Linked DNA regions of Tribolium castaneum. The protein of the gene in region 1 interacts with the protein of each later gene in a biochemical or structural test. Links are inferred from orthologs where the notes say so. Each region holds a gene or a part of one and is shown on either strand. Other genes may lie near its edges.

What was found.
Region 2: the proteins of Cdc27 (region 1) and APC4 form a complex in vitro, tested with the Homo sapiens proteins (2 studies listed by BioGRID). The link is inferred for Tribolium castaneum from reciprocal best matches to the Homo sapiens genes CDC27 and ANAPC4.

The regions. Positions count from the first base shown.
Region 1 is NC_087394.1:14,530,319-14,543,148, reverse strand, and holds the start of Cdc27 (cell division cycle protein 27 homolog), read left to right. Parts: upstream 1-5,615; 5' UTR 5,616-5,796; coding exon 5,797-5,820; intron 5,821-5,880; coding exon 5,881-5,956; intron 5,957-6,011; coding exon 6,012-6,159; intron 6,160-11,666; coding exon 11,667-12,213; intron 12,214-12,830. Other genes in the region: mitochondrial cardiolipin hydrolase, read left to right, coding at 262-688, 740-981; zinc finger CCCH domain-containing protein 15 homolog, read right to left, coding at 1,100-1,270, 2,095-2,325, 2,382-2,636, 4,659-4,894, 4,942-5,143, 5,215-5,286. UniProt on the Homo sapiens protein: Component of the anaphase promoting complex/cyclosome (APC/C), a cell cycle-regulated E3 ubiquitin ligase that controls progression through mitosis and the G1 phase of the cell cycle.
Region 2 is NC_087400.1:316,030-328,887, forward strand, and holds APC4 (anaphase-promoting complex subunit 4), read left to right. Parts: upstream 1-7,240; 5' UTR 7,241-7,346; coding exon 7,347-7,458; intron 7,459-7,503; coding exon 7,504-7,632; intron 7,633-7,693; coding exon 7,694-7,854; intron 7,855-7,900; coding exon 7,901-8,620; intron 8,621-9,075; coding exon 9,076-10,152; 3' UTR 10,153-10,158; coding exon of another isoform or gene 10,159-10,248; 3' UTR 10,249-10,298; coding exon of another isoform or gene 10,299-10,442; 3' UTR 10,443-10,509; downstream 10,510-12,858. Other genes in the region: 8-oxo-dGDP phosphatase NUDT18, read left to right, coding at 1,827-2,103, 2,152-2,343; CycJ (cyclin-J), read right to left, coding at 1-254, 314-485, 1,590-1,697, 1,748-1,786; WD and tetratricopeptide repeats protein 1, read left to right, coding at 2,801-3,003, 3,049-3,160, 3,207-3,400, 3,447-3,627, 3,678-3,971, 4,018-4,127, 4,183-4,541, 4,591-4,787 and 1 more; CstF64 (cleavage stimulation factor subunit 2 tau variant), read right to left, coding at 5,439-5,689, 5,739-5,827, 5,883-5,912, 5,961-6,090, 6,147-6,330, 6,380-6,803, 6,849-6,927, 6,978-7,029; uncharacterized protein LOC659212, read right to left, coding at 10,159-10,248, 10,299-10,442, 11,885-12,087, 12,173-12,286, 12,336-12,355, 12,512-12,594, 12,648-12,791, 12,838-12,858. UniProt on the Homo sapiens protein: Component of the anaphase promoting complex/cyclosome (APC/C), a cell cycle-regulated E3 ubiquitin ligase that controls progression through mitosis and the G1 phase of the cell cycle.

The DNA.
Region 1 (12,830 bases):
TTAACTGTGCAAAATATTATATTATACCGATCACTGTTTTTTACTGTGCAAAAATTAATTAAATATTGAGCATTTATTATTTTTTACTGATTAAAATCGGATTTATTACTGATCGCTTTATTTTTACGTTTCTACCTATTTAATTATAATTGGTGCAACAAAGCGCCAAAATTTAAACTGAAATTGCCTTGGGCTTTACGGTGCGCGTGCGCAAACCCGACCTAACCTAAAATATTTTCTGTTGTGCTTCAACAATTCAAAATGCATAGAATGTGGAACCGGGCTTTTTTTGCACTCGGTGCAACTGTTCTTCCAATGATTTTGAATTACTTAATCAAACGAAGACATAAATTTAAACTGAAAAAGTTACGAGATGAAAAGTGGGACCAGGACAGTAGCTATTACCACTGTATTTTTTTCACGATGAAAAACGTGATGTGTTCAAGTCATTTTAATACACATACAGCATGTGAAGATAATTGTTCAGTCACACATTTAAATACGCTGTTACGGTTCCTAGGATCAGCAAAATACTCCATATCTTTGTGCATGTATATGGTCACATTGAAGCAAGTTACTGACGAGCTAATTAAAGCCGAAGATCGCGGTGTGAAAGTTAGAATAATCACAGACCACGTTATGTACAAAATGGAACGTTCTAAAACTAAATTGCTGAAAGAACGATACGGTAATTCGAAATTTTTCAAATATTTTTCCGGAAAAATAATCAAAATTGTAGGTTTTGAGGTTCGGACGCCCCCTTATCAAGACTCCTTGATGCATCACAAATACTGCCTTGTCGATGCTGAGGATCCAAACTTGCAGAAAATGTTCCTAGGATCACTGAATTTAACAGTTCAAGGGTGTCTCAAAAACTTTGAATTCGTATGCATCACAAATAATTCAACGATGATTAAAAGGTATAATGAAGAGTTTGAATCACTTTGGACCACGTTCGAAAACTCAGACATTTTTCTTTAGAGATGTTTATTCAAAATAAAATTAACAAATACATTATTTTTTTAAACCGTTGATCTCTGGTGTGCATTACGAGTTTAGTAATGAAATTAAATTCCAACAATGCTAAATATTAGCACCCTTATTCTTCTAAATCTAAGTCGTTTAGTTCTTCATCTAAAGCTTCTAAATCCTCCTCAAGGAACAAATTTTCATTGATGGGTACTGCAGATGCACCTTCTTCACCATTTTCTGTTACTTTTGAGCTTGTCTTCAGCCGGTCTTCAGAGGCCACAGTTCCAGTCCCGTCAACCTAAAATAATTAAAAAGTGAAATTATTGGACGCTAAACAAAAACGTAATCAAGAGTTCTGTGGAAATTTCAAAATGTCAAATGTGTATATTTTTCAAAACGCTGCGAAAACGGTTACAGATGCAAGAAAAATGTTAGGAAGAAAGTCGTGGAGAATTATTGGAATAGTATATTATACGAGTTTTATAAGACGTTCTATTAAAGCTCGAATGGTTTTGGAGCACGACGAAGGAGTGCTCCATTAGAATGAGTGCCACAATTAAGTCTTATAAAACGAGTGTAATATACTATTTTTTCTACTTTTTATTTTTGTTTAGTTTAACTTATCAAAATCTGTTCAAACTATTTCCCCTTAATTTTGTTAATTAATTCGGGCTTTATCAATAAACGACTTGTCGCTGTTGACAGATTACACACTAAATTAAGTGATGACTGATGACACCCAGCCCAGCACTGCCAATACAACTCCTACAAAGTTACTAAAAGGAGTTGCATAAAAGTTCTTTTTGTGAAACAAAAAAATTTTACAATGAACAATTTGTGAAACCAAAGTGGAAAAAATCATTTGTTATCTAAACCGTTGAAAATATTATTTAGAAATATAGTGTCGCGGACTTTTTTGTAGAAAATTCAATTCTCTACAACTTTGTTCCTTATACTTTTTTGTATCTTCAACCGTATTCAAATTGATAGTTCAAAGTGGTAATTCTTTGCGCACTGTCGCATATTTATCAAAACGCGTTTTTATAGTTTTGAAACAGTTAATACACGTTTATAAAATCTACAGAGCACGCTTGACTCAGGACAGTTTATTTTTCAACTTACCTCTTCGGCACTAATTAGATCTAAATTGATTTCTTTATAATCCGCTTCATCATCTTCGGTGTCTGAATAATTGTAAGAATCAAACGCTTCATCGCCTTCATCCATGTTATTCTGCGCCGCCAATTCAGGATTAAAACTAAACATTTCTCTACCACTAAGTCCGACTTGTTTGCCTGCCTTAAAGTCGGTTCGTTTTTTGTCTTCATCCCGTTTTGCGGCGTCTTTTTTTTCCTAAATTCAAATAAATGTGTTAGAATTGTTTTAGCACCTCCGTAAATAAAACAAACCTGAATTTTACGTTTTTTCCACGCTAAAAATGTCTCTAACGTGACTTTAGTTTGAGTAGAACCTAGTGCTGCTCTTTCCTTTTCAATTAGATCTTCCAGTGATATTTCATCACGTTTGTCGTCTTTTTTCTTATCTTTCTTTAACGTGAAACCTGGTGGGAGAGCGTGTCTGTAAATACAGCTTTCTCCAGAGGGACATTGCCAGAACCAGCCATACTTTGATTTTTCTACAGCTTCCAAGAAATGTTTACAAATCTGAAATTAGACAATTACACACTTTAAAAACAGTCGTGATCGCAATAGAATTTGATCAACAATAAAAATAAAATATTTTTGAAACAGTTTCCTTGGAAATAATTCTCACTATTGACACATCTAGAAATTGTGATTTTTTATAATTTTGTTTTGTTGGAAACATTTTAAGCCTTCTTTTTAATATCTAAATCCTAGATTATAAACACCATTTTAAAACGTGTTTTCATTATTTTAAAACAGGTTTCCCATAGCAACGTGTTTTAAATTTAAATGTTCCAACAAAAAAATCTTAATAACACTTATGCGAAAACGCTTAAAGTTCTCGGGTGTCTAGGTATGTAACTCGCATACGCTCGTTGCATAACGACAGCCCTCGAACTTTAAGTTTGTGTTTTCGCACTCGTATTATTATTAATAATTATTTTAATTAAAAAAGCTGTTAAAGACTGACAATTTTAAATTAAAATAATTATTCATCATCGTGTTAGGGAACGATTATTTAATGTGAAAGATAAAGACATTAAAAAATAATGAAAACTGAAGTTAACAAAATGAGTTTAAAGCTGTAGATTTTTGATATGACATTGGAATTTTTTCAAAATTTTTTCCCCAACCTACACTTGAGCATCCTGTAGTTTGTCCATTATCCAAATAGGCTTTTGCTAAAATATTTTGAAAAAAAAACTGTCAGTAAATTACATATTTTTTTTTAATGGCCACATATTTTTCAAACTTAAAAAGCAATCTTTTTTTCGATATTTTTTGGCAAAAATACACTTAATACAGGTAACCAACATTTAAAAAAAAAATAAACGTACCTATGTTTTTTGCGAAAAGGTATATGTTATAAACAATTTTATAAAAAAATAAACATTAACTTTAGTCTCTGCCAACAGTACTAAAGACAATCCAATTTATTTTTCGAAATTTTCGACATTATGTGGTTATATTATAATCAACGTATATTCCCTGATATGTACTTCCGAAACTGTTCGTTTCGTCAATTATGTTTAGTTGGTTTAGTATCGTCTAAGAATAAACAAAATATATACAAATATGTAATAATCTCTTTGGAACATTTAACGCATAAATTTGAATGAAAATAAGTTTTTTACAATTCTCTTATACAAAAATACACATAATCGTAAATTGGGTTAAAAACTATTGCAACCAATAGATTTTCATTAGAGTAATATTTCGTTCCACCTAACTGACGTTTAAAAAGCGCTTCAATTTACCCTCAAAAAATTAAAAACGTTTTAGGAATTTTTAAGATTTACATGCAAAAAATCACATTTTGCTTTTAATAGTCTGTGAAATAAAATAAAAAGTAATGAAACCCCGCTCCGGCTCTAGGTATAGAGTTTTATAATAAGAAAATCATAATTAACAAAGTATGAGTACAAGGTAATGTTGTGAGCTTGAAAAGTGTCAATGAGTTTTACTTTCAAAGCTATGTCTTTTCAGGAATAAATTAACTAGTAGTTTTCGGAATTTTCTCTATTACGTTAATTTCACAATTAAGCATCAAAACTTTAAAACTACTCTGCCTAGGCACCACAAACAGTGTAAGAAATTTTATAATTTAAGAAAACTTCGTCTGAGTCAGTGGCGCCCCCAATGGTAAATTTATTTCGAATGTTTCAATTTATGTCGGTATAGTAAATTTCTTTACACATTAGGTAACCATCTACATAAATAAAAACATTGCCGAGAATATTTTTTTCGTAAAAAACTGGTTGTAAAAATATTTAACGCAAAACAATTGTTCAAAATTTCAACTTCAACAGTTAACTGACGTAATTATGCCAATGAAATTTGTAGAGGACTCTACCACGTTTTTTTTAGACTTACAAAATCTACAGGTGATTATGAAAGACTGTGTTTCTTGTCGTCAAGTTGGTTACAAACTTGAAATCATATGTTGACAACATTAACTATCAAAATTATCAGGAATACCAATAACTCAATGTTACCAATACATTTTTGACACACCCGGTACAATTTGTAACTAAACCTTACAATGTCAGTAGTGGGCATTTTCCCCGTCTTTCCATGTTTCTTCTCTATCACTTCAAACAGCTTTTGCTCATCCCAGTTTTCCATAGTTTCTTCTTCATCATCTCTCATATCCACATACAGCGACCTTTTCTCCGCCTTCCGCTCTATACTCAAATCATGGGAAAATTTGCACTTATCACCTTTGCCGCACTGGCCCTGTTTGAAGAACGAACAAACCACAGACTTGGGATCAGTCCCTGTAAAAACTTGGTAAAAATGGAGCAATAAAAAGTGAACAAACAACCTTTCTCGACTTTCTGCGTTTGCACGGTCTTAAATAAAATAGCCATTTCCTTCTGTTCCTTCAACTTCTTCTCCTTTTCCGCTTTCTTCCCCCCATCTTCTTTAACAGGATGGTGACCCCCAGTTTTAACTTGTTTCTCGACTTGCTGTATGAATTTCTGCTGCTTGGCCCCTTTTTTATTTTTCAAACCGAAAGTCTTGTCCTAATAATTAGTTGAAAATTTGCACATTAGAATTAAATATAGAGATAAATAAAAAATCATTACATATGTACCTCAATCACTTTTTCTTTCTTTTTCTGTTCAGTTTTCTTACTGGGTGCTGCCGGTTTGGCCTTCGGTGGCATTTTTTACAGTTCTAATTGAGAGAATTAAATAATCTTGATAATTTTTTCAAAGAAAACGAAAAATATTTCGCTTTCGGAAGTTCCACATGCACAGTGACAGGTCGGGGATTTGACAGACAATTTTGACGGAAAAATAATTCACGGCTCCAACCTGACAAAAAAGTGTAGAAAAAATCGATTTACCAATAAAATTTTACATTGGTACGAGATGCCTTAAACAGTTACAGTCTTTTTGGAAAAATAGCAAAAAAGTCAATTTTTCTTGTATTTATTTTTTACAAGCGATTTTCCACTCTTTGGTTGGTTTTGTGCGGTTGGCTGCCTTTGTTTATAAATTGAATTGATCGAAGTAAAATGGCCGTTGATTTTGCGTTTGTGATCATATGTCAAACAAATCAAAAATAGTGTTGAATTAAGAAGTGTTGCATTTATTTTAATCATTTGTATGCATAACCAATGTTTAGGCTTCAATTCAACTGTAATCAATGAAGTGAAACTCTGAGGTAAAAAATGATTGTACAGGAACCAGTGCAGGTAATGTAGTTAACCTCTTCCAAATATCGAAATTATCTAAGGCCCATTTTTTGGTTTCAGGCTGCCATTTGGCATTGTTTGAATCATTATGACTACACTGATGCTGTATTCTTGTCAGAGCGATTATATGCTGAAGGTAGATACGCCTTTGCTTGCAAAAAACTGTTTTTTATAAAATCGCTTGATTTCAGTCAAATCTGATGATAGTCTGTACCTCTTGGCCACAGCTTATTACAGAAGCGGCCAAAAAGACCACGCATACCACATTTTGAAGGAAAGGACAGATGCTTCAACACAGTGCAGATATTTGCTTGGGATTTGTGCTTATGATCTTGAAAAGTAAGTTTGATAATGCCTCATAATTACATAAGTTGCACAAATGAAAACTGGCATTGAAGTTGGAATTTCTCTAATAAGAATGACTTTGGCAATTGGAATTGGGCCGCTGATAATACAAAGAGGTCATAAATCAATATAAAAATACAAGTCTTGTTTACTAACATTGTAAGAACACTAAGTCTAGTTCAGGGTTAATAGAAAGTGGAACACAATTGGTTGCTACCTTTTTAATTGTATTGAGTCTTAAGTCACAAGAGAATAATATTTGGTAATAGATGGTGGTCTAAATTATGTACATTAAAGTTAATTGTTTAAAAATATTTCAACTTTGTTAACACTTTTATGAACGCGAGAATTTATTTATTGAAAATTCAACACCACTATTTTTATTAGGTTTATTTTGTTTTTTATTATCAACATATTTCTATTGCAATTTTCGTAAAAATCTGTACTACTTAAGTGTTAACTGCGCTATAGTCGATTTTTTTTTAATTAAGGTTGGTGTAATTTTTTACCTGACAAATTCAATTTCCAAATTTTTCAAGTTGTCTCCAATTTAAAACACGTACAACAACACATTTACTTATTTTAGACCACCTTTACACTAACGAATTAACGCTAACGTCCAATTTTCAAAAATGTCAAATCTGGTGTTCAAAATGTGAAATACAGAATATAGCCAGTTTTAAAAGTGGTTGGACATGAACTTTTAGGATCATATAGTCTGGTCTTTATCAGAATTTTGACACTGACAGTTGATTATAAAACAGTGAACTATACTTATAATTAATTTTATAAAGGAAACAACATATATTACTAAATAGCAACATAATAATAAAGCACTTAACACAAATTCAACGGGATGAAATAATTGCAAACAATTTATTACAGTAAATAAAGGGCCCAAAATTCAAATAAGTTGTTTTACAAGAAGCATAAAAAACTGCATAAAACTCATTCAAAACTTTTATTCTTATATCTTCACATAAGGTGCTACTGATCTAACGAATGTTTAGATATGGTAGTGGAATGAGTTATAGAATTTTAAACATACTTTTTCCAACAAATGAATTTTTCCAAGTTAACTAGCTGGACCCTTTGGACTTCAATTGTTATTATTTTCAGTTTTCTATTATGAAAATACATATTATGATTGTTTGGTTTCCGATAATGCGTATACAGCTGTAATATGACTCCTTTTTAAAAGCTTTATTTAACTTGCTTTGCTGTCTGTTCTATATTTCCTATAAAAAGCTTTGGGAGAGGTCAATTAAACAAAGCAAAAATTCGGTAATGCCGTAGTGTTATGAGTTACGACTATGACACTCCTAAAGCTTTTATAATTTTTAGAATCTAATCTGTTACTAAAAATATATTCTCCTGTGATAACTAAACATCATTTATTACTTTTTAGTGCTTCTTTTAAGTAAATGCTCTTTTTAAAAACGTTTTTTAAATTATACAGAGTGTCTCAAAATTGGTGAATTCCGAAGATTCGGAGCTTCCCCACAAAGATACATTGGTTTAAAGATTAATCTTTGAACTGCGATTTCTTCAAATCCAAGCTAAAAGTTTCAGTGTTTATTCTTATTTATTAATCATTTAAAACAATTTCTCAAAAAATATTTTCCACAATCATCTGGATCATAAACAACAATCAACACTGAAATTTTTAGCCTGCATTTAAAGAAAACGCAAAATAAAGTGCACCTGAAGTGTTTCTTCCAACCAATGTAACTTTGTGGGAAGCCTCGAATTTTTATTTTGTTTCTACATTTAAACTACTGTGATTCTCTACAACACTCTGATCTCGGAATTCGCCAATTTTGAGACACCCCGTATATTTTTTGAATATAGTAGTTGTAAAAATCACTTGTAATTCGGATCTGTTAATAGTATTTCAGAAAAAGTAAGATGTAATTCATATTTTACTTTTTTCAGTTGTAAGTAGGTTTTTAAGAAAAGTTCAAGTGAAATTCAGTGTACCAATTTTAAAACGAAGCTTTTACGTAAGCTAAACTAAGAAATGCACTGATAATTAAGAACATAGCTTTGATGTTTTGTATTTTAAATTTTAAACCCAAAATATTTAAAATTTTATTTCTGAATTACAATTAACGTTTCCTTAAATACAGTTTACTATATCCCATTTCAGTTCATAGTAGAATTGCAACAGTGCATTTGAATTTTTTGGTGTGAAAAATAAAGCACAAATTGAGAGATTCTGTATAAGAAAAGAATTCTGTGTTAAAATAAATCCCAGTGACACGTTTTGATCTAAGAAAACCCACCAGAAACTCTAAATTTTGCTCCATTTGACTCCAAAAAAAATGTAAATGCGTTGTTGTAAAATTGTACTGTGAACGAAAATGGGATATAATCTGAATTATAACTGCCTTTTTCAGAAATATACTTGACTCTTTCTGAAACATAGTTGAAAAAGGTGTATAGAAAGCTGAATAAAATTTTAATTCTTTGTTAATAGTTAGTGCACTAGAAAACGTAAGCTGTATTTTGGATGTCCGAATAGGCGATCTCCAAAACTAAGAGGTTTAGAGAAAAACGAGTGAAACATTCCGTTTTTTGAGAGAATAATTTTGGTCAAAACCGCATCCCGCTATCGTCTTTTGTTGTCGACTTATAAAAAGAAGTGGACATTTTAGCGAAATCTTAAAAAATCATATCTTCCTTATTATAAAAGATACACATTTGAAACAAAAACATTATACAGGCATTTTTTTTCAGAGAATTTAATAATGTTATCAGCGATTTTTTTAATCATTCGTTCAGCTGTAATAACATAGTTGTATTTTTTTAAATGAGAATCATAGTTGGCTATGACATTTTCGAAAAGCTAATTTTTTTCTGAACTCAAAACAATATAAATATAGTTTGATATTTTTATATATTTTTGATAAAAATATATTTAAAATATTTGAAAGTAGTCGGCCATGGAAAAATTATTTCACATAAAAGGTATGAATAATCTAGAAATTTTGTGAACGTTTATTAAAGTAAAAAATGTGATTATAAAAATAAGCTGTGTTAAAGTTATTTTCATTTAAACAAATATACGAGCGTCGCGGATTTTAATTACATAAGAAATGTGCAGAAAATTTCAAACAATGTATCACTACCATTTGATGCCACTTTTTTATGATTTAGTAAAGTGCAAAGGAGGTGACGTTAATAATGTTGTGTATTTTTTTTACCGCAGATGGAATTTGATTTTGGTGTTTGGATTGATATTTTTTTGTAAAATAAAATTTTATTGATAAGCAATCATACAATTAATAAGATTTTTCTTCTTCCGACATTTCATGTTTACAATAGGAAAATAGAATGACAACGTAAGCTTGCCATTTTAAATATAAAAACAAATAATTTTTATTAATTGCAAAAATTTGATCTAATAAAAATTTATTGTGCTGTTTTTGAATTAATTAGTGTTTAAAAAAATCATTAAATTATAAATACTTGTTGGGTAATACAATTTTCATAGTTTTAATTAAAAATCCAAAATTTTTTCATGGCCTACTATAAAGAAAAAGCGAAATGTTTTGTTTTTTCTTAAATATTTAAAATTAATGTATTACACAAATAGACATATCAGATCAGAAAAAAATTAGCTTTTCGAAAATATCATAAAAACTTTATGTTATTACAGTTAAACGAATAGTTGAAAAAAATTGCTGATAACATTATTAGATTCTCTGAAAAAAAATGTCTTTGTTTTAAATGTGTATCTTTTATATTAAGGAAGATATGATTTTTTTTTATAAACATAAGTGTTTAAAAGTCGAAAACAAAAAAAGATAGCGAAATTATTTTCTCAAAAAACTGACTCGAAAATATGTCACTGGTTTTTCTCTATACCTCTTAGGAGATCCCGTATTCGAACATCCAACATGCAGCACCCTGTACAACATACAGCGGGTAATTTTTAACTGGAATAAAATTCATAACTTTGATTTAGGCGATTTTGGTGAAATTCCCGAACAGATCAATTTTTATTTTTTCTTGCCCACTATTTGATGCATATGGTTTTTGTTATCTGTTGTCAGAAATGCACAGCCGCCTCTAACCTTTTTTTTCAAATGTAACGGTATGTCAACTGACACCTCGTATGAAAGCTCTTCTCGCAAGCATTACAACGCACTATTTGTTTTTTGAATTTTTTCAAAGCCTACGTGATAAAAAAAATAAGAACCAATTTTTATAAGTTGAACATTATTTGATTTGATTGTTCAAAATGGGCACCGTTCCTCTCTTGGGAAATAACATGACGATAGTAGCATGAATTTCTAACATTTCTAGTGTGATTTTCCTAATTTTAATTTATAAAAATTGATTTTCATTTTTTATCGCGCAGGCCTTGAAAATATTCAGAAAACAAAGAGTGGGTTGTATTCCTTGCAAAGTGCTCTTTCACATGAGGTGACACTTGACATAACCGTTACATTTGAAAAAAAAAGTGTTAGAGGTGGCTGGGCATTTTTGAAAACAGATAAACAAAAACCGCACCAAATGATGTGCAAAGAAAATCAAAAATCGACCTGTGTCAGGATTTTTTTACAAAAATCGCTTGTATCCAAGTTACAAATTTTATTTTAGTCAATATTTCCACACTACTTTAATTTTTTATCACTTGGGCATTGACAATATTTAGAAAGCAAATAATGCGTTGTACTGCTTTCGAAGTGCTCTTTTACATGAGGTGTCACACGACATACCGTTACATTTGAGAAAAAAAGTTGGAGGTGGCTGTGAGGTTTTGACAGCAGATAAATAAAAACCATATCGACTAAATGATGGGCAAGAAAAAACAAAAAGCACCTGTTTCTGAAATTTTTACAAAAATTGCCTATATCCTAGTTATGAATTTTATTTCAGTTAAAAATTCCACACTGTATAAACTGTGGTAAATTAACGACAATTTTTATATATGTTTTTTACAAAACAACAATAATTACATACTGTTTATTTCAGAATGTCATTAGAAATAATAATAAAAAAATTACCTAAATAATATTTGTATTGAAGTATTATTTAATTGTACACTCTTATTTCTGAGATTATTTATGTAACCAACTAATAGGTTATATCTTATATCAAATTCACCGTTAATTAAAATTGTGCACTTTTTAGTAGGAAATTTAATTCGCTTCAACGTTTTTGATGAACTTTCTTTGTTTTTTTGTTTTCTTAATCCTCTTCTCAGCATTTTGAAAAATATGGGACAAGTCAAAATTTTTTTAATTTTTAATAAGTATTATTATTTATTAATTATTACGCTCAATGTTACTGCGTTTTTTCCAGGCAGTTTAACGTTCGATGTGCCCTAATTTTTACTCTACCGCACTAATTTTTTAGATACAGAAGATCATTTATTTAGTATTTAGTCTTCGTAACCTTCTATTATTTATAAACACAATCATTTTTTCACAATGTTGTAACAGTTATCGTTACTTAATTTTAGCATAGCTTCAATAATGTTTTTTTTACAGATATGCTGAGGCCGAGGCAGCTTTGTTACACTCCAATAAGAGCAGCAATGACTCCGAGAATTTCGACGACATCACATCAGAATACGGTGATCAAGCACCATTCGCTTTATCTTTATTAGGTAACATAGCTGCCAAAACCGAAAGAAAACCTCGTGCCATAGATGCATGGAAACGAGCCTTAAAACTAAATCCATTTCAATGGTCAAGCTTCGAAAATTTATGCAAAATAGGAGATAAACCAAACCCCCAAAATATATTCCAAATAACAGGTGTTGAAAATTTATCAATGTGCCAGGGAAGTAATATTAACAATATCGAAAGTGTTGTTATAACAAACAACAATCCAAATCAAGATAATCAAGAGACATACGCCACAACTCCTCAACAGATTCTTGTGAATTTTAGCCCCAATGTCGTAACTTCGAATTCGAAATTGTGTACACCTGATGATAATCCAATTGTTACACAAAATGTGTGGCTGTCGGGCTTCGCCCCCTTCACGTCGAGGACCAAGTTGCTGAGATTTCGGACGGATTCCTCCAGTAATGTAAGTTATTTTTGATGGATTTTTGCACAAAATTTTTTATCAAATTCTAAATTTGTGAGTGTTTTCTTCTCACTGAGTAAATCGCATGATTTGGAATATTTGTTTTTATTTACAAAATGAAAAAACTCGAGAAATTTTGCCAAGCGAAGATATGGAAAATTAGATATGGAATGAACTCGTATTTTTTCTGCCTAGGTAGAATGTTCTCGGTTGCTCTGGAGATGTCTTTCTTGTGTTTGAAAAAAATGTCCAAGTCTACTCTCAGTCTTGAATTATACTTCATACCTTTCTCTTTACCATATGATATAAAAAAATTGTCATTAATGTTTTTCGAAGAAGACTTAGTTTGATTTACTTTAAATAGAAAAAATAGCTGTTTTCGTAAATTGAATAAAAAAACACAAAAATAGTGTATTATTAATTATTATACGAGTTTTATAAGACGTTCTATTGTGGCACAAATGGTTTTGGAGCACGACCAAGGAGTGCTCCAGCATAATGACTGCCACAATTAAGACTTATAAAACGAGTGTAATATACTATTTTTTCTACTTTTTATTTTTGTTGTGTTTTTGTTTAGTTTATCTTATCGAAATCTGTTCAAACTATTTCTTCTT
Region 2 (12,858 bases), on another chromosome or scaffold:
GGAAACAGCTTCCCGGAAATTATAAAATAAAGTTCGCACAGTATTGCCTTCTTTTAAATCGCCACTAGTTAGAAATTCCTGCATGAAGTAAAATACGTAATGCACAGCACTCTGAAACTTTACGTCATGTTGAAACATATGAATGTTTAAGTAATACTCCAACTTGATGTAATCAGCGATTGAGTATTTGTTGCCAACTAATAAATTTAGTTCGCTGATTCGGGGAATTTTTTGTGAATTTTCTTCCAGTTTTGCTGAAATAATTTTAGGGTTTTTTTTTTTTTTTTTTGGGGTGCAATAAGTTACGTCTTACAGGCCGTTAGAAGGCACACGTTTGCCACCAGAAGTAGTTTTTCGGGGATTATGTGGTGTTGGTCCATAAACAGGTCTAAAATATAGACGGCCACATGTAGACAGCTTTTACTCAGCAATTTTTCACTACAGATTTTGGTAATGTAGCGCACGAGAAACGGTCTATAAGTGAACTAAAACAAAAACAAAAATTATTTTTCGTATTAATAATACAAATACTTGGTAACAAAAAGCATTATTAATTAATATAATATAATAATAAAATTATAAATTGTTTTTCTCCATATCTGTGAGTTTTTTCAGAATTTTTATACAATATTTTTTATAATTAAAATTAATTAATTAATTATATTTTTTGCTGGAAAACGAAGTTTTATAATGACATCTGAAATCTTAATATTTTGATCAATACTAATATTATTAATTAATATAGCAAAAAGAACGTAATAATTCTAAGTCATAATTTTTTGGGCACCGTCGCCTATTTATTAAAACGCTGTGAATACGGTTGAAGATACAAAAAAGTGTAAGGTACGACGTTGTAGAGAATTAAATTTTCTACAAAAAAGTCCGCGACACCATATTTCTATCTCCAACGGTTTAGGTATAAATTTACTTTCCCATACTTGACCACCGACAAAATGGTGGAAATCCGTCGCTTGAGCATCTTTGAACGTTTTTAGGGCCTAAACTATTGAAGATAAAGATATGGTCCCGCTGACATTTTTAAAGGAAATTTAATTCTCTACAACTTTCTTCTGAACATTTTTCTTGTATCTTTAACCGTATTCGCAGCGTTTTGAAAAATACGGGTCGAAGCGCAAATTTTAAATCTTAAATAATTTTTTTCTCATATTTCTTATGAAAATTTTAGTCTACAGTTTTTCTCACTCTGTTGAGAATGCAAAGCTCAACATTTCTGCATTTTTTTCCAAGTTATTAGTGAATTGGTTGAATTTAAATTAATTTAAAACGATTTGGCACCGAGACGGTTAACGCTCGAGGCGCCCTCATTTTTACACTGCCGTACTACATCTTTTGGGTGCGATTCTGTATATCGTTTCGTCTCCTAACTTATAGTTCTTCGCTAAGTAGAATTATTACCACATAATTTTATTAATAAGCAAATAAAGTTACAGTCCTTTGTACCCAATTTCCACCACAATGATTTTTACGAAAGCGTAATTTTAAACTTTGTGGTAGTTTAAACATACTGGACTTAATAGCACTTAATTGTAATTTTTTTAAATGAGAGCACAATAATCTGTCTGACTTACTTGAGGTGACTTGTGGAAAAAGCTGGTTCTATTTTGCTCCCTTTCCTTAACAACGCGTTTAAAATCCTCCCTGTATTCCCTATAGCTATCGTAGACGTCTTTCCGTAACTAAAAGCAAACTTTTCACCTAAACCCACCCTCAAACACTATCACTTTACATGAAATACTGAATCTTCAGCGACTAGCGTCGTCGTCATCTTGCAATTTTTTGGCACTGTTTTTTATCGCTCTTATCAGGGCGTTCAAAGAGGCAAGAAAAGCCCGCGACCAAACCTGGCACAAAGACCAACTTCCGTGTCTTCGCCCCCATTCCAGACTCCTCCTGCGACTAGTCGTCGTAATAAAGAAAAAAGCCACGAATCGCGTCCACGTTTTAATAAGCGAGAAGACTTCGTGGCATTTACCCACTTGTGAAATCCACCCGTCGAAAAATCTGCATTCGACTTTGAAGCGCTTTATGGTGGATTTGTTCGGGGCTGACGTGGGGCCCCACAGGCCACATGGGTTGCTTTCGGTGGGTTTATTGAATTTTTAGAGTGTGGAGGTTGAAAGGGGGTTGTAGGTGGAGTATGACCCGCGCGACCGTAAAGACGGGGCTTGTTTGACGCTGCTAGTGGCGTTTAGGCCCCCTTTGGAGGAGGTCCCCATCATTGGCAAGTGTGTCTGGCATGAGGCCTCCAAGGAGCTGGGGGAGAGGCTCCTGGCCAAGGTGGCCTCCAAGAACTCCACCATTCCGATCCATGTTATTTGTTGAAGGTGCTACGAGTACTAACCGGGCAGTATTGTGGTTAAGGAACGAGTAAATTATTGTTGCGGATTAACTGTTTATTATAGTTTTGTATTTTATTATTGTTTGTGCATGTTATTGTAATAAATTATTATTTATACGACAAATCAAATAAAATCTACAAAATAAACGGTTGTCTTTTTTGTTTGAACTTTTTCGCGACTTGAATTTTGTAAAATCTGGGGATTTTCGTTTTGTGCGGTTGTGCTTCACGCTGTCCATGACCTCCATAAACAAAAACAAATGAGTGTATCTTTTGACATCTTTCAAAAAAGCAATTAAGGCCTCAATCGTCACGTAAAGCCGTAATTTTATGATGAAATTTTCGAAAAATTTGTATTTATGATGCCCGATTTGCTAAAGCAAAGGTGAGTCCTGTTGACCTTGCAGCAAACATTGATCCTGATAGCGACTCTTCAATCAGATGGAAAACAAAATAAAAGGATGGAAAAGCAACCGTAACGTGTTAAAGTTGATGCAATGCCGGGAACTGAACAGCACCGCAGCAAAAGTCCTCAAACAGCGCACCCAATTCAGCGCCAATTTCATCCAGAGGTTAGGACTCGAGGCGGAGCTTGAGGGGCACCAGGGCTGCGTCAACTGCCTGGAATGGAGCCCCAACGGACTGTAAGTGCCTTTAGCCCCTTGCAGCAACTGACCGTTCACTCGCAGGCACCTGGCGTCCGGCTCCGACGACACCAACGTCATCCTCTGGGACCCCTTCAGACACAAGCAAATAAACGTGATCCCGACCCCACACATTGGCAATATCTTTTCCGTTAAAGTAAACAACCCGATCATTTTGGCACCGAATCTGAGCGTTTTTGCAGTTTTTAGCCGACGAAAATGTCATCGCGACGGCGGCCGGGGATTGCCGAGTGGTGGTCCAGAGCGTGTCGGGGGCCCTCGACAAGAGCGCCCCCTTGCTGGACTGCGCGTGCCACATCGGCCGGGTCAAACGCCTGGCCACGGCCCCCGACCAGCCTACTCTGTTCTGGTCAGCGGGCGAAGATGGCCTAGTTGTGTAAGGCAACTGTTTTGCCCAACCAAACACCTTAACTCACTTGCAGGCAATACGACTTGCGGGAACCCCACGAGTGTCCCACGCAAAGCAAGGTCTTAGTCGACCTAAGCTTCAAATCGGAAATCAAATGCATTGCTGTGAATCCCACAAAATCGCACTATATCGCAATAGGCGCCAACGACTGCTTCGTGCGCTTGTATGACAGGAGGATGATCAAAGTATCAATGGTAAAATAGGTAAAATGTTGGGGAAAAACTTGCATTTTTTGGGTTTTCAGGCGAATTTGTCGTTTAATCCGTCGAAGAGGACGTCCCCGCAGCCCCAAAACAGCGACTGTGTGCAATACTACGCCCCCGGGCACCTGGCACGCGAAAATGCCGGCATTATGAGCATCAAACTATCAGTCACTTATATCGCGTTCAATTCCGCCGGTTCAGAAATGTTGGTAAATATCGGGGGTGAACAGATTTATTTATTTGATGTAAATAATAGCCGACACATTAACGAACTCAAAATCCCCCAAAACTTACCTAAACGGCCCCATCAACCCTACCGGAATTGTTGCCAACCGGTAATTATCCCCCCAGTCACTACTAGGAAAATGCAATTTTTTTTAGAACGTACTGTTGGCTGAACTTAACGGGGTCAGCGCCGACTTGTTTGAGAAAAACACGGACTGTGCCTGCTTTTACATGAGGCGGGCGCTACAGGCGTACCAACGCAAGTGGTATTGAGACAAATAGCCAAAAAAAAAGGCTTGTTAATTTTTTTTTTCTTGTTAGGATGGGCGATTTGTATGCGGCAGCACGTGATTATTTACACGTGATTCAGCATTGGCCGGACCATAAACAGGCTTACATTGGATTAATCAAATGCCTAATTGCCATGAAGTGGGAAGACGAAGCCAACGCTTGGTTGAAACACTTTACAAAACTTTACCCCGAATGTGAAACCTCCTCGCAGGTGAAATTCCTCGTTGAGGAGTTGCAAGCGCTCAAAAACAGCGTCAAGTTTGAGGAGACGGGAGTGAAGAAGGTGGAAGATGATGAGAAAAAGTTACGTTTGGATTCGTTCGATTTTGAGAAGATTTACATAGGGCATTGTAATACCACGACTGATATCAAGGAGGCGAATTTTTTAGGTTGTTTGTGGTGGTTGTAGAGTGTTGGTTTTTTCACGGCGGCTTTCAGGTGATTGTGATAATTATATTTGTGCAGGATCGGACGAAGGGATCATTTTTATCTGGGATAAGAAGAGTATGAATGTGGTTAGGGCTCTCTTTGGAGATAACTCGATAGTTAATTGCATTCAACCACACCCTAGTGCCTGTGTTATAGCGTCCAGCGGGATTGATACGGCCGTTAAAATATGGTCGCCTCGGCCTGAGGTAAGCACAATTGCTGGTCTCACTTTGAAATTAAGTTGGCCACTCTACATTACGGCTTTTTTTTAATTCGATAAAGGTTCCAAAAAAAAGGCTAGTATGATTTTTCGAAAACGGATAACTTAGTCACTTGATCGGAAATTTTTCTCCGAAATATAGTAACTTTTTTCTATTAATTTTATTAATGTTGGAGTTTCCGTTGTCGTTTATTTAGGACGGCAAAGTGAACAACCGAATCGTCAAATGCATCTCCACTGTAGTCGAAACAAATCAGCATCGCATGTCAATGGACCCATTCGAATCAATGTTGGCGAGCATGGGTTACCAGATCGAAGGAAGCGCTTTAGACGGATCGTCCATTCAAGAAGTACCAACGTGCCGAACTAGCTAATTTTTTAACAAAACCATTACAACCAGATTTGTAACTGAAAGTTGCAAACGAATAAATCCACCTCTTGTTTACAATTTAATCGTAAACAACCGAAGGAATCGCTCATTTATTTTGTACTTTCTAGAGGGTGCGTTTTTGTTGTTGATTTTTAAATGATATATACACAATACTGTAAATAGTGTTTATGTTAATAATTTTAAAGATTTTTTAATTATCATGTAAACTGTAAAAATTAAACTGATTTGGGGAAATGACTTAATTAATCAACGGTGTGCACTTTTGGCGATTTGTTCCTTCAAAACTAGAATACTATTACGCTGTTCAGGTGGCAGCATTGCAATCTGCTCATCTGACAATTGCAGGACTTGCATAATCAGGGCCGCCTTTTCCTGGTCTGAGGCCCCAGCTGTACCTATACTTGAAGCAACATTGGCAGCTTGGCGAACTTGGGGGGTACTGGGGGGCCCCTGCGGGGCTCTGACCGGCTGCGGAGGCATCGCGTTTTGCTGAGGGGCTAAAATCAGACTTTCAACAACCAATTCAATTACGTACTTCACACATACGCATATTTTTCTGTCTTGGGTCAGCTCGCTGTTGTTGTCTCGGATCAGATGGGAAGTTGGCCGGACCTCCACGTGGGTCCCTATTAAAGCTAAGAAAAAGTATCAGTAAATTGTATTTCTAATCAATTGTAAATGGTTATTTACCTTTCCAATTTCTGATCCTGCTTAGTGAAACTGTTTAAATTTGAGTAAAAGGGCTCAAGGTTGAATTATTTTACTTACTTTTCGACAAGTGGCGGCGGAAGGGGGTTGGGGAGTTGTCCGGGCAAAGTGCGCATGTCCTGGTCGCCCAGGCGGCTGAGGCGAGGATCAGCCCCTCGGGGGTCCAGTGATCTTAGATCAACGTCTTGACCTGCAATAACGCAAACATTATTATTATTTATAATCAATTGTGATAAAAAAAATCACCTGTGAAGACCGGATTGGAATTATTATGAATCGCGGGGGCTGGCACCGGCTGAAAGTCCTGTCTTGGGGGCTGCACAGGCGTGGGATTCGAGACATAATTACTGTTAATCGGAATGGGGCCTGGATTAGTCTTTTCCTTGGGCGTCAAAGACGAAGGAACGGGATTTTGCGGATGCAACATTGTCTAAAACCCCCCAATAAAATATAAATACGCCCCCAAACCCCCAACTCACAGCCGCCGTATGCGGGTCAATAATCCTCATAACCACCTGCGCCTGCAGCAGAGCGTACGCCAACTGGGGGTTCTGCAGCAGCATCTGCCTGGCCTCAGTGGGGTTGTTCTGAATGCAGAGCTTCATCTGCTTCATCAACTCGAACATCTGCTCGGGGGGCAACGAGGCCACGGCTTTGCTGATGGCCTCGGGGGCCTTCTCGGCCTGAATCGGCTCGCCGTAGGGGTTCTCGACCGGGGGCTGGTTCAGCAAGTTTTGCATCTCCATGCGCGATTTCTCGGTACAGGCGTTGTCGACCCGGAGGTTGCGCCCCCCGATCTCGTACCCGTTGAGGTTGCGCATGGCGCTGAGCGCCGTCTCCTGGTCGCGGTACTCGCAGAAGCCGTAGCCTTTGGGCTTGCCTGTCTCGCGGTCGAAAACCAACCTAAAATTCAGGCGTTAGGGGGCTTCAGGGGGCAGGGCAACGTACTTGAATGACAGGACCTGGCCTACTTCGCCGAAAATGTCTTTGAGCTTCTCTTCGGTGGCTTCGTAGGGGATGTTGCCCACTGGAAGCAATGGGGTTATAATTATCACTTAAAATTTAAATAATTTGTACCAAAGACCGAACGCATTGACTTGTCCATGATATTTGCTTCTAAATTATCCATGGTGATTGTTTAATTCCAACTTGGAACGAAGTAATCAAGACACCTGGGACACCAATTTCAACAAACGGTCAGCGTTACCAACCCTCTACCTTTTAAAAAAGTACAAAATTATGCATTTTAAAGCCAACAATAACAAAAATGTTGGTTTATCTATTGTGGTTACAACCCTAAAGTGAATCGTAACGCCTGACTAGGCCTGTTTGTGCACATTTGGCTAAATAAAGCAAATCGGGTCCAGACGCACAGTTGGTACCCATGACAGAATTAAACGTAACCTTACAATTTGAAAATTGTTTTTTGTTACTAATTGTTGGAAAATGAGCACAGTTCAGGCGATTAAACAGCTCGAAGAGCGCAATGTGGCCAGTGAGATTGTTCAAATGGTGTGGAGCGACCGTATGGACCTTGTCGCTCTTGCCAATATCAAAGGTAACCCCCATTTGCAGTAACCGGCATTTTTGGGTGTCTTTGTAGGAGAGGTGGCTCTTCATCGACTCACTTGGACCAAAGCGTGGAGTCTCAGTGCCCCCAAGGATGGGTTAAAGGTCACAAGTATTGCCTGGAGGCCTGACGGCAAAATCATAGCAATTGCGTACAGTTCTGGTAAAATATTGTAAAAAAAGTATTGGAAATAATTTAAATCCATTGTTTTGTGCAATTTCAGGCCAAATACTGCTTGTGAAGGTCGAGAATAAGTCGGTGTTGCACACTATTGACATCAAGGGCGAAGTTTCATGTCTCAATTGGTTGCAAGACCGGACTGTTAAAGGGAAACTGCCTTCAGTTGACGAAGACAGTAAACAGAATCAGTACATGAAACACATTGTAAAAAAACCCGAATGTTAGTGCTCGTTTAATTTCCCAGTTGTAGGACTTATCGGGTAATTTTTTGCCCGAACCGGTGCTACAACAGTTCGATTCCCCCAACAACGACGATGGTCAGAAAACCAACATTTTGCAAGAGCAAACCGACTTTAATTTGCTCCTGATTGGGACAAGTGAGGGCACCGTGCACGTGCGAGTTTTCGGTTGTTTCCCGTGCGCTTCCCTTGACTTGAAGCAAACTCTCAACTGTCTTTGCTCCATCCAGAACATGCATTTGAACGAGGACCTGAACCGCATGTTTTTCACAGTGCGAGACAACGAAAACAACGTTAAATTGATTTGTTTCGATTCGGAAATTTTCAAAACGCACACAAACGAACTGTTCGCTTTGGCCCTCAAACACATAAAATTGACCTCACTGGTGACCTATCTCTCCAACACTATTACCACCATCACCGAGTCCTGGGAGAGCATTTTGCTGGAGATGGACAACAAGTTGTCGAAATATGCGAGCAAGGTGCCAGAAGGGGGCGTCACGGCTGATTTTTTGGATTTGCTGACGTTTGGAATTTGCTCGGATGAGATGAAGACCTTTCTCATACACGATTTAACGAAGAAAGGGTTGGAGAAGTTCGGGCAGACGATTGAGATGAGTTATTCCAACATTCAGAAGTTGATGCTGAAGTATGTGATGAAGTTTGGGCAGAATGTTACCTATCACTTGGCCGAAATGAGGGGGATGGCAAGACTGGAACACCGCTATAAGGTTGGTACAAGTGTGTGGTGGCTGCCAACTCAACAAAAAAATTAAAATTTAATTTTGTGTGAACTTGGCAAGAAAAACCATCAAAAATGCACAAAAATGGAAAAATCACATTTAGTTCGATAATTTCAAAGTCTGAGAAATAGTTAAAAAACAGGCGTATTTTAGACGAAATTTTACGCAACAAGCTACATTGAGTGAAACAAACAAATATCAATCAGGTTTGCTTTGAAACGAATATAGTGTCTGATTTTTTAAACGAACAAAATACTATCTGGCAAAATAAATAAATATTTAGTTTAAAATCGAGCAAATACTACGTGAAAAAAGTCCAAAATATTCGGGGAAACCCCTGACGGCTTTAAAACGCCTTTTTCGGCTTTTCGCTCCCACGTTTAGGACGCGTTTCAATTGAAAAGAAGTTATTAGTGTAAAAAATGGTGATTGGGTGATTGTAGGTTTTGGGTTTGGACGCGGCCGCCATTACCGGCGCCATTTCCTCGAACGGCGCCTTCTTGATCAAAGGCAGCGAAATGCAGCAAATCATCAATCACTCCATCATCAATTACAAGGCCTTCTTCCGCTGGCTCTACACGGCAATAATGCACGTTCTGGATGAGCCAATACCGAACGAAATCCCCAAAATGACTCAGCAAGACCTGGCTTACATCACCGAATTTTTGCAAAACTTTGACCACATCAGTCGGAATAACAAACAAAAGGGGTTCATTATGGAGCGGTTGGGGCAATATTTAAGCGATGGCAATTTGACGATCCAACCAGACATGTCCGGGAACGAATGGACTGATTTTTTGGCCCAGAACCAATGCATCGAAAAAAATAGTTCCATTTTGAGGCACTTCAAAGAGATGTCGCTGATACAACAGTACAAGCATTTGAAGCAAAGCGTCGATGCGATTTTCGCGACACCTAGAGAGCAAATTAGTAGGCAGTTCAGTCATTTGAATGACTTCAATTGTTTCCAATTTTGCGGCGATTCGTTACGGACGTCCCAAGTCAACTTAAACAAAGAATCGATTCTTTTTTGTTACTTGCAGCCGCCTGAGACCGTTCTAGGCCTGCAGGTGTATCTAGACGATGGCAATTGTTTCATAAAGTGTGCGCGTCTGTACTTCCCCCGTGACAATTCCGAGGATAATTATCACGTGATCGATATTAAACTATATTCGAGTGCAGTATTGTCGGTTTTATTGCAAGAAAACACCGTTTCTAAAGCTACAGTTTTAAGTCAGATACCGATAGGTGGCGTTTTGGACAAGTTTGTGGATGGGGGGGAGACAGATCGTGTTTTTAGTGGTGCGGTTAACGTGGTTAGTTTGAACGGTTCGTGTTTGGTTCCGAAGCTGTTTAAGTGTGTGGAGGGGATGGTGGGGGCGGAGTTTGCAGTGTCGGGGAGTCGACGTGTCGGTATCGTATTGGCGGAAAATCGGAGGAAGGTGCGCTTGTATGAAATGGAGGGGGAGGAAGAGGAGGAGGAAGATGCGGAGATGAACAATAGTGGGGTACAAGAATGACTTTATTTACATTCTAAGGACTAAAGTTTCGTATTCGGGACAAGCGATTTCTTCGCCGCCGTATGCTATGTAGCAGACACCATGGCTGGGGTGTATCTGGAAAATAAATGATCAAGGGTTAAAATTTATAAGGGTGAGTTAAGTACTTTGCCAATTGTTTGGGAGCCTTCGTGGTAGGCGCGGCCTATGTAAAGGGGCTCCCCTTCGCTGGTGTGCCCCCCTTGGACCGCCCCTGGTGGCAAGTGGCCGGCGTGCGATTGTACCCACTCGAAGTATTGTTTACATAAAACCTGAAAATTTTAAAAAATAAATAAATTCGTTTTCCTTATTAATTAACCTTGCAAGGTGGAAGAAAAATTGTTTTCTTTTAGTTTTTGTACAGATACAAAAAATTAAATAACGAGATTATAAAACAAAATATAAAAGGGCTTTATTTTCCCATATTCAACAAAAAAAATTCATAGCTCAAAAACTAAATGTCGTAGAGCAAAACGGTTTGTTCCAATGAACTCAGCGGCTCATTTTCTGAATTATACCAACGTTTAACGAGATCTAAAGTTTTAAAATTTTTTGCTAAAAATTAAGATAGTTGTTTCTTATAGTGGAAAATTTTATTCAACCAAAAAATTTATAACTCGAAAACTAAAAGTCGTAGAGCAAAACCGTTTGTTGCAGTGAATTCTGCTGCTTAAATTGCTTAGAATACTAGCCTTTTCACAACACTAGCTTACTCGAGAAATTTAAAAAAATATATATTTTAATTTTAAAATTGGTGGATGCGCCGGGTTATTTATTAAAAAATTCATAACTCGAAAACTAAAAGTCGAGGAGCAATGCGGTTTGTTCCATTGAATTCAGCGGCTCATTTTCTGTATTATACCAACTTTTCACGAGATCTAAAATTTTCAATTTTTTTGCTAAAATTACCTTCAAAGTGGTGAAAAAAAATTTTTTTTAAACTCACTCCAGTAAATTTTTATGGACTTTTACATGTCTTAACAACCCACAAAAGTTGTTAAAAGTCCACAAAAAGTCCATATGTTCGATTTTTTGATGTTTGATTTTTTCAATTTTCGTCGCAAATTTTGTCGATTTTCGGTACCCGGAACTTTTGTCAAGCAATAGCTCCGGAACTTTTAGAGATAACCCTACGAAGTGTATTATCGTTGGAAAGCTCTTTATATTATCTATTTTTTTCAAAAAAAATTATTGTTCTCCGACTAATAGTTTTCGAGCAAATTGGAGATAAATGCAAAAATTAGTAAAATTTTAAAAAATTCATAACTAAAAAACTATTGGGAATTTGGCAATTTTCTCGATGCCAATCGATTCCCCGGATCATTTTGTATAGGTATGGAACAAAATAGTTCCACTTTCTGGAATAGTTTAGCCGTGAATGAGAATTTTTGCTAAAATTTTCTGAGTAATAATAATACACTTTCTTCCAAAAACGTGAAAAAAATATTTTTTTTACAAACCCATTCTAGCATAGTTTTATGGACTTTTCTATGCCTTTACATCCCTCTGGAGTTGTTAAAAGTCCAAAAAAAGTCCATATGTTCGAAAAAAAAATCTCAAGAATATGCATATGCATATAATGGCCGAAAAATAGAACTGTTGCCTGTGACATTTAGTCACAATATTTGTCACTTTTGCGGATAAAAATGCTTGTTTTACTTTAAAAAAAAGTTACAAGGGGATAAATATCAAATAGAAACACCCAGTATATTACTTGGAAATTTTCAACGAGGTGTTCCTGTCCGTTGTGAGAGACATAGGCGGCGTTTTTGCCGGGAATCACTTTGGCAGGGATCAAGTCACCTTCATGGTAGGCTCTACCAACGTAAATGGGATGCCCATCCCCATCCATGCCCCCTTGGAGGGCCGTCGGTGGCACTGACCCATAGGCGATGGAACTGTCAACCCAACGAAACGCTGGAAGTGAATTTCATAGTAAGTGTTATATTTATTGCTCCGTCTTGGTAATAAAGTCCGGTAAACCCCCCAAACTGGTCCTTACCTTGATTATGAAAACTGGTATTTTGAGATTGAGGGTAAAAATTTTGATTCGGGGGATATTGAGGGTAATTAAAGGGTGCGGAAAGGGAAAATTCCGGTCTAAAACCATAGCCTCCTACAACCCATTTTCCGAAAACAAGGAAAATCAGAAAAACGGTACTCACCTTCCATTGTGTTAAACTGTTACCAGTTCGCAGAACGCTAATAAATCTCATTATCTTATCATTAATAAATATCACGAGATTTGTTAGAGCTAAAAGAACAACAAACTCTTGAAGTCTAGAAGGTTTTTATTTACTTATAAAACAAATAATACGAGGTGCAAACACACAATTAAGGCCGCAGTATCAAAATCTCGTACTCCGTAAATCTCAACTCTTTCCCATCAAACGGAATCAAACAACATTTGTAACTGGGGTGCACCTAAAAACCCAAATATTTATTTTTGCTCCAAGTAAACAAAAATAGACACCTACTTTACCGACAGTATGCGAGCCCTCATGTTCCACTCTGCCAATATACAGGGGTTCCCCATCGACGGTTCTCCCACCTTCAACTGCCCCTTCGGGGATTTTGTCTTCGGTGGTTTTCACCCAATCGAAACGTTGCTCGCATAAAACCTATCAAAAAATTAATTTAAATTGACAATGTCGCCAACTTAAATACTTGAAAACGGTCCACGGTGTA